Lonchura striata: one gene and its partners. The protein of the gene in region 1 purifies or fractionates together with the protein of each later gene. This does not show direct contact. Links are inferred from orthologs where the notes say so. Each region holds a gene or a part of one and is shown in the gene's direction. Other genes may lie near its edges. The genes, in order: MAP3K2, YWHAE and TRAF7.

Region 1 (3,745 bases):
CAAATTGATATGTAAATCTTAAACTTCTGTTCAAGTATTATTTCACATGTTTGTTAAGGGTGACCAATGTAGCCCCCAACCCTTGTTTTGGGTAGATTTTGAGTGCTTGTTCAGGATTTGCAAACCTCTTGCTGTCTTACATGTTAAATACCTCTTAGCACATGCCCAGAAAGCAGCATGTGAGCAGCAGTGGAGTCAGGTGCCCCAGCAAAGGTCGCTGCTGTCTCTGTACAGCTCTGTGTGAACACACCGGGCCTGGCAGTGTCTCAAAGGGCATCCACTAAACATGCACAGGTCATTTGTGCATCTCGCACACAGTAGTCATGCCTGTAAGGTTACTGGTAAATCTGTACAAAACTAATTACAGTGCCATGCTATTATTCACCGTCATCGGCTACTTAAGACCGCAAGGGTAGCTGTAATAGCTGGCCTGCTACGTACCAGGGACTGCTTCCTCGCTGATTAACTGAGGGTAGCATCCTTCTTCCTTGCATGCATTGACTTCCTGCGGGAAGCAGGTGCCTCCTGCGGAGCGGTCAGTCTGTGCCGGCAGAAATGGGCGTCCCGAAGGCGGCAGAGCGCCGTTCTAAACAAATCGTCCTAAAAGCGCGCACAGCCCCCATAAGAGGCAGGTCAGGGCGGCGCGTCCTGCGCCGGGCTGCGGCGGGGCCGGGATTTATACAGTGAGCGATGGCAGTGGTGGGACCGCGCTGCCCCTTCCCATCCTGCCCTCGCACGGCGCCGATCCCGCGGAACGGCACCAGCCCGGGCTTCTCTTACACTCGGCTGTCCGGGAGCGGTGAGCTGACCCACCGGCCTGTCCGGCGGCGCTGCGGCGGAGCCACACGGCCCCGGTGCCCTCGGCCCGGGGGTGCCGCGGGGCGTCCCCGGCGGGACTCGAACCCCGGGCGCGTCCCGGCGCGCACGCGCCCCCGCAGCCGCCGGGCGCGCGCCGCCCCCCGTCCGTGACGCCGCCGCGCGGTGACGCCTCGCGCTCCTCCCGTCACGGGGCCCGGCGCGCGCGGGGCGGAGCTCGCGGGCGGCAGCAGCGGCGGCCGCGGCGCTTCACGCCCGACGGGACCCCCGGCCCGGCCCGGCCCGGCCCCGCCGCGGCCGCAGCGCCCCCGGGCACCTGCCCGCTCCTCTCCGCCCGCCGAGCCGCACCGCTCCTTCCGCGCCGGCCGCGGCGCCGCCTGTCACCGTCCCCGCCGTGCTCCGGCGCGGGCAGGCCCCGGGCCCTTTCCCCCCCTCCCCCGGGGGGGTGGGCTCCGCTCCGGAATCCTGGCCGCTCCCTCCGCGCCGCCCGCCCAGCCGGGGCTGCTCCCGCCGCCGCCGGGAAGCGCGGGGGGTCCCCGGCGGCCGCCCGGCCTCCGCCGTGACATAGGTGGGTGTGCGGGGAGGGGCGGGCGCGGCGGCCCGAGCGCGTGCGAACCGCGGGGCGGCTTTGCCCCGGCGCCTTGCGGGCCCCGGGCCGGTCCCGGAGGTGCCGGGGCCGGGGGCAGCACGAACCCGGCCCGGTGCGGGTGGAGCTGCGCGGCACCGTAGTTGTTTGCGGTGCCGGGAGACACGCGCTAATGTTGCTCCCTTACATTACCGCTGCATTACCTGAAGTGTTTTTACGTGCCTGCCGAGTATTTCTGTGTCACCCTGAACCTTCCTGTGTTTGCTCGCTGATGCTGTGGTTTCTCGTCTTGGAATTGCTCTGCAGTGGTAGTGCTGTGAATTGGGTATGTAGGTCAGATTCTGCGAGATGTTTTTGTCAGGGGAAAAAGTGAATGTTTGATTATTTATTCCCGTGTTGCTTTTGAAGTGCATTGCAGCACCCACGAGGTTGGGAGGTTTTTCTGCCTTTTTTTTCCCCCCTTGGTTTCTCTTGCTTCGTAAATCTCTTCTTAGTTTTTGGCTGTGGCATTACTGAAGATCAAAGCGCTAAATTAGCTGGGAGCTTCTAAGCTGTATTGTATCATGCACTGTCCTTTAAGAGGGTGGTAAAAGATAATAGAAGCCTGCCTTAAAACAAGGGGGATTTCTAGTCCGCGCAGAAAACGTCTCTCAACTACAGCGTTTCTTTTCTTTAAACAATGCAGCACGTTGCAGAGCGTTGGAGGCCTCCAGAATTGTATTGCTGTGTGTATGGCAGAGACGTATTACCAGAGTGAATGGCCACAGGCTTGTCTTGCACAATACCTTGGGTTCTCTTGTGGCGAAGCACTTACTAAGGAGATACCCGAGAAAGTATTCTTTCCTGTGGAATTCCCTAGGGATAATTCTAAGGGAAAGGACATTGATGAGCTAGTATTTGTACCACACTGAAAAACCTTAGAATAATTCTTTTTCGTCACTATCTTTTCCTGCTTTCACCCATACCTTTCCTTACCGTGACTTTGTAAATAACTGATTTCCTCAGAAATCTATTTAAAAGTCAGAACTTGCTATAATTCCTGTTTCCTTTACACTGTTTTCTGTAATGACTGCCACCAATACGTATTGACCCCAGATTTGATTCAGGTAGCAAAGCTGTGTATAATTAATTTGATCCTCCCCCCCCCCACCCCGAGGTTTTAGTGTGTGTTGATAAAGCAGAACAGGAAGATAACATTTGTCAGATTGACTCATTGCTTGAGAAGAAAAATCTGTGTAGAGTTTGCCTTGATGAACTCTGTGTTGGTATTTGAACAGGTGGTTTACCTGGCACTAATAGAAGAGCAAGATGAAGAAAATAGAAATTTTTGCATTGCTTGCCTTGGCTTGCTGAGATTTCTAAACTGTCAGAGGAATCTTTTTTTCCAAAATAGCTTGGTAATCTTAGGAGTTTTATAGTAAATGTTATTAAATAGAGAGCTGTGACAGAATTTATTCATGTAGTGAAATGAGCATTATGTTATTGTTTAATATCAGTAAGCAAGCTTTTTTGTTTTGTTTTTATGTTGATAATACTAATTTATGGTAAAAAATGAATAACCTTTCAATTTTGGTCATAGATGTATCAGGGGTTATTTGCTATGAATATTGGGAAAGCCAGTCAGTCCACATGCTTGTGGAATTTAAAGCCTAGTGACTCTAAATGCAGGAGAGATTGTTTTATTATAGTTTTCTCTGGAGGAAGCAAGCAAGTTGGTGAAGCAGAAGTTTTAGTCCACAGTTACAGTTTTTACATCACATTTTTTCCTGATCATTTCCTATAAGTTATTAATATTTAGATACAAATCAGAATTACTGGTTTTTAAAACCTTGTCATTAATGAGAAGTATTTGTGAAGGACTATGAAGAAAAAGGCTTTGAAATCTTGGCAATCTGCAGTTTTATATTTTTTTCTTTCATATTATAACTGTAGGCTAACTTTTTGCCTCAGCAAACTAAGTCAAAAGTCATGAGTAATCTGTTTTCGTGACAAGTTGTTTGGTGGCTGTCTAACTGGTCATCCTCTGAACTTAGATTGATTTCCTTCATTTGTTCCCCCTCTTCCACAACACACAGCCAATGGTGTTCTGATCTGTGGAGAAGTATCCATAGATCCCCATTTAGTTTGGAGTAATGAACATATTTTATAATAATATCTTCTTAGATATTCTGTACTACTAACAGTATCTTTTGTTTAGACTTGGAGAAAAATAAATGAATGATGAAAATGTGACTGATGTAGTTAAGTACATCTTAAATACATTTGCAGAAAATGTAATGTGTTTTCATATGCGTGACAAGCTAATGTAAATATGTGTATTGCCTAGTGACTCTAGGTTTGTCT
Region 2 (3,745 bases), on another chromosome or scaffold:
TAAGAAATCCTGATTAGATGATCCTGATCTGTGAAAAAGAGGGCCTAAGTATCCATTGAAAACAGAGTATTTATTTTCTGAGTAAGTGATATAAAAATAATTCTGTCACATGTTTAGATTTATTTGTAAGAAAAACATAAGGTTATGCTGATCTTGCAGACCCTAAAACTCTTGTTCATCAACTGAAAAAAAATAAGTCAGGCCAGCAATAAACTACTGAAAAAATGTGCTTTGAATGGTGTTCAAGGTGTGTGCCCTCAGTCACCCATCAGGAGCCCATTTCAGTGCACACAATACAATAAATGGGGATACCTGACTTTGTGTCCAGCAGGTGCCAGGGGCAGCTCTGTCTCTGCTGTCAAAACTTGCAGAGGTCTCTGTGCACTTCTCCCAGCAGTGAAATGATGGGAGAGCATCTGTAGTCTGCACTTCCAAGGAGACACTGGGGAAAGAGACAAGACTTCATTCATAGCTACCCTGAGCAAATCATAGAATCATGGAATGGTTTGGGTTGGAAGGGACATTAAAGCTCATTTCATTCAAATTCTTCTGCCATGCCATGAGACCAGGTTGCTCCAAGCCCCATCCAGCCTGGACTTGAACACTTGCAGGCATGGGGATCTTTGAAGATCAAGTTCATGCCAGCCATGCATAATCCCTTTTCTTTTTCTAAAACCATTCTAATTCCAGAAATTGAGGCATTATCTCAGTTATTTAAGTGAATGCTCCTTTTGTTTTTCAGAAGTACTGTGTGAGGAACTTGTGAAATTTGCTTTCTAGATTTCCTAGCCTCTTGAAACTGAAATTACCTCGTGCTATGCACTGGAGGTGATACTTAGAGCAAATACCCTGGAGAGGCTGTAGAAACCTGTATCTGTCCGTCTGCCTTTCGGTCACAGATCCACCCTTCCATGTGCAGCACACGCGGTGATTTGTACCCAGATTCCGAGAGAGGGTAACTCAAACAGCGCTGTCAGCGTCTGAGGGCAGCACAAACGCGGAGAGATGGAGCCGCCCTGAGGGAAACGCCACCGGCGGCCGGGCCCGCTGCCCATCGCCATGTCCCGGTCACGGCCCCGCCAGGGCCGGCGGGGGAACGGCGGATCCATCCCCGCCATTGCCGGGCCGCCTCATCCTTCACCCCGCGTTATTCCTCACCCGCCTCACCCCTCACACCGCTTCACCCACCCCGCCTCACACCGCCTCATCCACTCTGCCTCGCCCCTCACACCGCCTCACCCCTCCTCATCCCGCCTCACCCCTCACACCGCCTCATCACTCATCCCGTCTCATCCCGCTTTATCCCTCACACCGCCTCACCCCATTTATCCCTCACCCTCCTCACACCGCCTCACCCCCTTCATCCCTCACGCCGCCTCATTCCCTTTATCCCTCACACCCCTCACGCCGCCTCACCCCGCCCCCCGCCCGTTGCCAGGGAGCCGCCGTTGCCATGGGAGGCGGCGGGGCGCATGCGCGCGCCCGCGGGAGTGCCCGGATGCAGCGGGAGGAGGCGCTGCCGCCATATTTGCCCGGAGAGCAGCGAGCTGGTAGCTGCAGAGCCCCCCGGACCCATCGGCTGCCATCCGCCCCGCGCAGTCCCCGCCGCCGCCCCGCCCGTAGGACATGGACGATCGGGAGGACCTCGTCTATCAGGCCAAGTTGGCTGAGCAGGCTGAGCGCTACGATGGTGAGCGCGCTGGCTCCGGAGGCCGTGCACGGCCGAGGGGAGAGGGAGGGAGGGAGGGAGCGGCCACAAAATGGCGGCTGGGCGGGGGAGGGGGGCAGGGGCGGAGGAGGGGGCGCACACAAAATGGCGACGGGGAGCGCCCTGAGGGGCCGCTGGAAGCGGGGATGGGGGGCCCGGGCGAGGGGGTGTCTCGGGCCGGGGCGGGGCCCGGGGCGGGGGGCGGTGGCGGCAGGAGCCGGGAATAAAATGGCGGCCGCGAAGGGCGAGTCCTGGAGGGGGGGCAGGGGAGCCGCCCCCGCCTCGGGGGCTCCACAAAGAGACCCCGCTGTCCCTCACGGCGGTCCGGCCGGCCCCGGCCCCGCGCTGCCCCGGCCGGGCGGCGCCGGGCGAGGGCGGCTCGCCGCAGACAACGCCCATGCCGAGCGCTCCGGAGGGGGAGCCCGGCGCTCGGCCCCTCTCCGGCCGTGCTCCTGGGGGTCCCCGGGGACGGGGCTGCGCTTCTTTTTTGCCTCTACCCCCGCTGGAGATCCTGCTGCCCCTGGCAAACCCAGAGAGAGCGAGTTCTCACCCTGCAGGGAGCGAGTACATGATTCACTGCCTAAAGAAAACGCGTTCATTATGTGGTAGAAATTATTACAGGTAGTTTTACTTACCCAGCGTTTTCTTTTTATCCTTTTCCCACCCCTCTAAGTTTGTGTGCTATCCCTGATCATTTAATATCCGTGATGATTTAATATCTGGGGGAAAAGTGGTAGAGGGGAGGAACTGGCAACCCTGGGTGGTGTCTCTTGCCCCAAAAATGTCTGTCTTGCAACCTCTCTTTTTAAACATGGTTCCCCTGCATATAATAGAAAGGACCTTTAATTTTCTCGACTCTTCTGAGACTGTTACTTTGCCCTGAGAGCTGTGATTACTCATTTGAAGTGAAATAAATATATGTATATAGAATGTGTGAATGCAGTAACACCTCATTTAGAGAGGTAAGAAGACACTCCAAATGCTTTCTGTTCAAAAATTTTTGTAGACAACACGACCAAGTTCTCAACAAATGACACATTTTTACTGAGTTGTGCTTAAAAAACATCTGATGGCAAAAAACATCCGATGGCACCATTGCAGAACATCTGAAAAATACACGTTTTGGAGAGAAAAAGAGAAACTAAAACAAAAAGAAGGCCTAAATAAAACTCCATTCATTTAGAGCTCTGATGGGAAAATAGTTTAGAATTCATAGTACCACTAAAGGAAAGCAGTCAGGCAGTCTCTGCAATAACTGAAAGACTTGGAGAATGAAAATGCCTCCCAGAAACCAAGTATTGGGGTACCATAATTACCTTGTGCAGAGGGACACATGCATATTGCACAGAATGTGTGCAACTTCTGCTGAGGAGGGAAGGAAAGGTTCTCCACCTGGTATGAATGAGTCAGTGCCACTGAAAGTGTTGGCTTTGGTTTGAGTGGAAACCAAACATCCTGGAGGAATCATCATCCTTGGGAGCTCTTGAGGCATGACTGTCTTTCTGGGGTTTTCTGAAGTCAGCAGTAAATCATTTTGTTAGAAGGTAATAGGACTCTACCCTGTGGCACAGATCTGCAATGCAAACTTCCTGTCAGCTGATAAAAATTGATTGGGAAGGATTATTGCCTTGGTGCAGCGTTTCCCTGGGTTCTCCCAGTACCATGAATGTTGGCTAAACAAGCTGCCCAGAGCAAAATGTGGAAGACTTGTTGTGCTGTATTGTTTCTGAATGGGCATGATGCTTGTTACAACTTGAAGTTGTCTTGTTTAAATCAGTGCTGTGGGTTTTGGACTTCCAGAGGTTTTAAAAATCAGGTTGGGTCAACATAATTCTGCCAGCTGCTCTAAATGCATCTTCACTTCCCTCGTGTCCATGGCCTGGAAGAAAATGTACCGTAGATACTGTTTTATCATTTAATTTTCTGTTCCTGTTCAGCTGAAACAATTAAAAATGATTGGCATAATTTGTTCTTGTTAATGTGAAATAATGCAGTTCTGCCAAGATCATAGCTGAGACTGCTGAATAATTCTGTGAA
Region 3 (3,745 bases), on another chromosome or scaffold:
CTAAAACTATATTTAGCCCACTACATAAGAGAATACAGCATAACTTTCTAACATTACAGATGTAATATTAGTGGCAATATTTGCGAATTTAAATTATTAATTAATTAATATTTAATTATTAATTCATTAATATTTGCTGTAACTTACAAATTATTAAGCTAACATTGTTCTGTTGTATACATTGACTTTATTCAAGCACGAGTTTCTCGTGAACTTCCCTAGGCCTCTGACCAGTTTCTCATGATTATTCTTACGATTAAACAGTAATTATATTTAATTACTAAACAATCATCACATCTAACAATTATATCATTTATAATGTACTAGCTACAGAGGTGCTGTTCTAGCAATGTACAAGGCCTACATGTACCCAGGGTATTTTTTCAGGGCCTAATAAGCTTAATTTTCCTTCTAACCCTAAATCCCCACGATTTAAAAACCTTTTTGCTATCACGAACGCCGCCTTCGAGCGGCCCAGACCGCCGGGGAGTGCCGGGACGGGGCACGGAGCCTCCGGGACGCCGCCGCCGGTTCCCGCCGAGCCCTGAGGGGAGAGAAGGCAGCGCGTGAGGGCAGAGCCCGCCCGGCCGCCCCGCCGGGCCGCGGCTCCGCGGGCCTCAGCAGGGGCTGCTCAGCAGGGGCTGCGGCCGCCCGCCGCCCTCAGACGAGGTGTCAGAAAGGTTAGTGTGGATCATCACCGGCCCGCCCTCGGTAATAGCGCCGGTACCGGCCGCGCTTCCCTCACCCCTCGTCCTCTCCTGCGCCGCGCCTCTGGCTGGAAAGAACGTGCTCGCGCCACGCTACGTTTTTTATGGCCACTGCCACGCCACTATTGGTCAGCCTGCTGTGGGCACAGCCAATCTCCAGCGGTTGGCGTGACCACCGCCCCACCTCTAGCAGCGCTGATTGGTCGCTGTTCTCCTCTCCACCAATGGCGACGCGCAGCGCAGCGTGGCCCGAGGCGGTAGTTGCCACCTTCTGATTGGTCACTGCAGTAGGCCGGGCAGAACCAGTAGCAACAGCGGTTGTAGCATGGAGTGGCTCTCCGCGGGGCGTGTTGGGAGTTGTAGTCCATGCGACTCGGCAGAACAGGCAGGAAGCGGCGCACGGGACTACAAGTCCCGAGGAGCGCTGCGCGCGGCAGTTCCGGGCCGGGCGCCGGTGAGGAGCAGGCCCGGGCGCGATGTGCCGGGACCGGGCACCGGCGCTGCGGCCGCCGCCGCCGCTGGGAGGTACGGGCGGGCCGGGGGGCGCCGGGCGGGCCGCGCCGGGCGGCTCCGCCACGGGAGGGGCAGGGCCGCGGGCCGCGGAGGGGCCGGCGGAGGCTCCCGGTGCCCGCCGCCCGCTGTGCCCGGGGTGCCGGCGGCTCTGTGGGGCGCTCGGAGCAGCTGGAGCATCCTCTGCGCTGTTCCGGCCCCGCTCACTGCCGCCGGTGTGTTGGCTGGGTGTCATCGCGTAGCTGCGGCTTTTTCTGCTCGGTTTTGTCGTTTTCCGCTCCGTTCCGTGCCCGACCGCAGCACGTGTTGCTGCTGCCGGTGTTTCCCTGCCCTCCCGGGAGCCTCGTTTCGCTGGGCTTTGGGCCCACAGTGTTCACAGCGTGGGCTGGCCGGGAGTGGCTCTCCGTGGCTGCCGCAGAGGTGCAGGTGTGGGTCGGGGCTGTGACCTGCGGGCTGTGCATTGTGCCGACCTGTCCTCTACTCAAGCCAGCTCTGGGGCTCTGTCCCCTGCCCTTATGGGCTGTGCATTGTGCCAACCTCGCCTCAAGCCAGCTCTGGGGCTCTGTCCCCCGCCGCTGCAGCCGCTGTCCCGCTGACAAACGCTGCCAAACTCTGGGATCCCTGAGCCGTGTGCTGGGAAGGGCAGCGGGGAGCATTTCCCTTGGGTTCCCCTTCCTTTGGAGCTCTGCTGGGCTCAGAGGCAGCGGCAGGGCCGGTGGGTGTTACAGGAGTGGCTCCAGAATTGTCCCAAGAACTGTGACCCAGCAGTTGTCTTTGCCACTTTGGTAACGTTGCTGTGCCTTTGTTTCAATCCCAGCAGTGTAATTCTGCCTCCCTGCGTGTTTTCCCCCCCCAGCGATGTGTTTCCAGGCTGCACTGAGCACTCGGGTTCCTCTTAAACAGCTTTAAAAGCTGCAGCATTTTGGCCTCAAGTGTTTTTGGCTGCTCCTTCCAGCCACAGCGAGGATGGTGGGGCTTGCAGGAGAGGGTTTGGGGGTGAAGGATGGTTCCAGAAAGCCTTTGATGGGTGAAAGTAGTCTCAGATCACAGAATCCCAGAATTGTTTAGGTTGGAAAAAATCTCCAAAACCACAGAGTCCATCCTGTGACTGATCACAGCCCAGAGCTCTGAGTGCCACGTTGGACATCTCCAGGGATGGAGACTCCAAACCTCTTTGGGCAGCCCCTTCCATGAGGAAATTCCTCCTGATGTGCAACCTGCACCTCCCCTGGCAAGGGAAATCCCTAAAATCCTGCAGGAAGCTGCAGGAGCGGGTCCTGTCTGCAGTCTGCTGGATTCCCTCCAGGCCCTGGGTCCCCTGTGTGGAGCAGGGAAGGGACAGGCTGAAGCTCCAGCGCTGGGTTTGGTTTGTGTGCAGGCGACACTGCCTCAAGGAGGGAACGTTTTACCCCGTGGAAATGGGAAACCTGAGCCACAGTGGTGTTTCCAGGCAGGGGATGCTGATACCTTCATTGCTCATACTCAAACAGGGGTTTTCATATTGATTGGGCTCAAGGAAGGAAAAAAAAACAACAAACCAATCCATGGTTTTGGGGTGGTTTGGTTCCCTGAGCTGGGGGATTCCAGGGTGAGCACTCCTGGGGCAGCACAGCCCCTGGTGGCCTGGAGCCACGTGTGAGCTGCAGGTGGAAGTTTGTGTCCCCTGCCTGCAGTCAGCCCTTCCCTTCCCCGAGGTTCTGCCAGGGCCTCGGGGAGCCCTGCAGGCTCTGGGTGGCTGCAGAGCTCCGTGTGCTGCTGCCAGCCCTGCCCTGCTCCTGGGGCTGCTCCTGGGCGCTCTGCAGCCCCAGTGGGGTTCAGCCATCGGTCACCCCGAGGGCTGAGCCTTCCCCTGCTGCCAGGGACCTTCCGAGCCCTGCTGGCCTGGCTGTGGCATTTCCTGGAGCGTGACTGTGCCTTTCTCACGGGTTATCCCGGCCAAGCCCAGGTGTGGCAGGAGGAGTGCACAGGAGAGAAAATCCTTCCTGGTCCGTGTTCAGTCTGTTGGAGCTCTTCCCTCCCGGTTTTTATCTGCACACACCAGCAGTCCCTGTGCCCGTGGCTTGGATCAGGGGGTGTAGGGAAGCTGGGACAAGGAGGGAGGCAGCTGGATGCTCACACGGGTACGTGTCACCCCTCTTTGAGCCCAACAAGTCCCCCTGGAGCCTAAAGGCAGCAGCACCCCAAATTACCCATTCAAGCTGCTCCTGCTTTGCCTCAAGCACAGCTATTGTAAATGCAGGTGAACCCAGTGGGAAGAAATGAGGATGTCTGACTCAATTCAAAAGGCTGAATTATTTCTTTATTATAACTATGCTAAAATACATTAATATACTATATAAAAGGAGGGTACTAAAACTACATACTACTTTCTCTGACCCTAACTCAACTCGTGACCTTCTCTGAGAGCGCAGCCCCAGGTGGGTTGGATTGGCTGTCAGGCTCAAACAATCCTCACCAGAATCTAATCAAGCAATCACCCCAGGTAAACAATTCTCCAAACACATTCCACATGGGCAAAACAAGGAGCA

What was found.
Region 2: the proteins of MAP3K2 (region 1) and YWHAE purify together in Homo sapiens (affinity purification with mass spectrometry; 6 studies listed by BioGRID and IntAct, with this or other methods). This does not show direct contact. The link is inferred for Lonchura striata from reciprocal best matches to the Homo sapiens genes MAP3K2 and YWHAE.
Region 3: the proteins of MAP3K2 (region 1) and TRAF7 purify together in Homo sapiens (affinity purification with mass spectrometry; 3 studies listed by BioGRID and IntAct, with this or other methods). This does not show direct contact. The link is inferred for Lonchura striata from reciprocal best matches to the Homo sapiens genes MAP3K2 and TRAF7.

The regions. Positions count from the first base shown.
Region 1 is NC_134610.1:14,453,308-14,457,052, reverse strand, and holds the start of MAP3K2 (mitogen-activated protein kinase kinase kinase 2), read left to right. Parts: upstream 1-1,283; 5' UTR 1,284-1,384; intron 1,385-1,605; exon of another isoform or gene 1,606-1,691; intron 1,692-3,745. UniProt on the Homo sapiens protein: Component of a protein kinase signal transduction cascade. Regulates the JNK and ERK5 pathways by phosphorylating and activating MAP2K5 and MAP2K7. Plays a role in caveolae kiss-and-run dynamics.
Region 2 is NC_134622.1:6,750,206-6,753,950, forward strand, and holds the start of YWHAE (14-3-3 protein epsilon), read left to right. Parts: upstream 1-1,494; 5' UTR 1,495-1,626; coding exon 1,627-1,690; intron 1,691-3,745. UniProt on the Homo sapiens protein: Adapter protein implicated in the regulation of a large spectrum of both general and specialized signaling pathways. Binds to a large number of partners, usually by recognition of a phosphoserine or phosphothreonine motif.
Region 3 is NC_134618.1:16,965,413-16,969,157, forward strand, and holds the start of TRAF7 (E3 ubiquitin-protein ligase TRAF7), read left to right. Parts: upstream 1-1,124; 5' UTR 1,125-1,232; intron 1,233-3,745. UniProt on the Homo sapiens protein: E3 ubiquitin and SUMO-protein ligase that plays a role in different biological processes such as innate immunity, inflammation or apoptosis. Potentiates MAP3K3-mediated activation of JUN/AP1 and DDIT3 transcriptional regulators.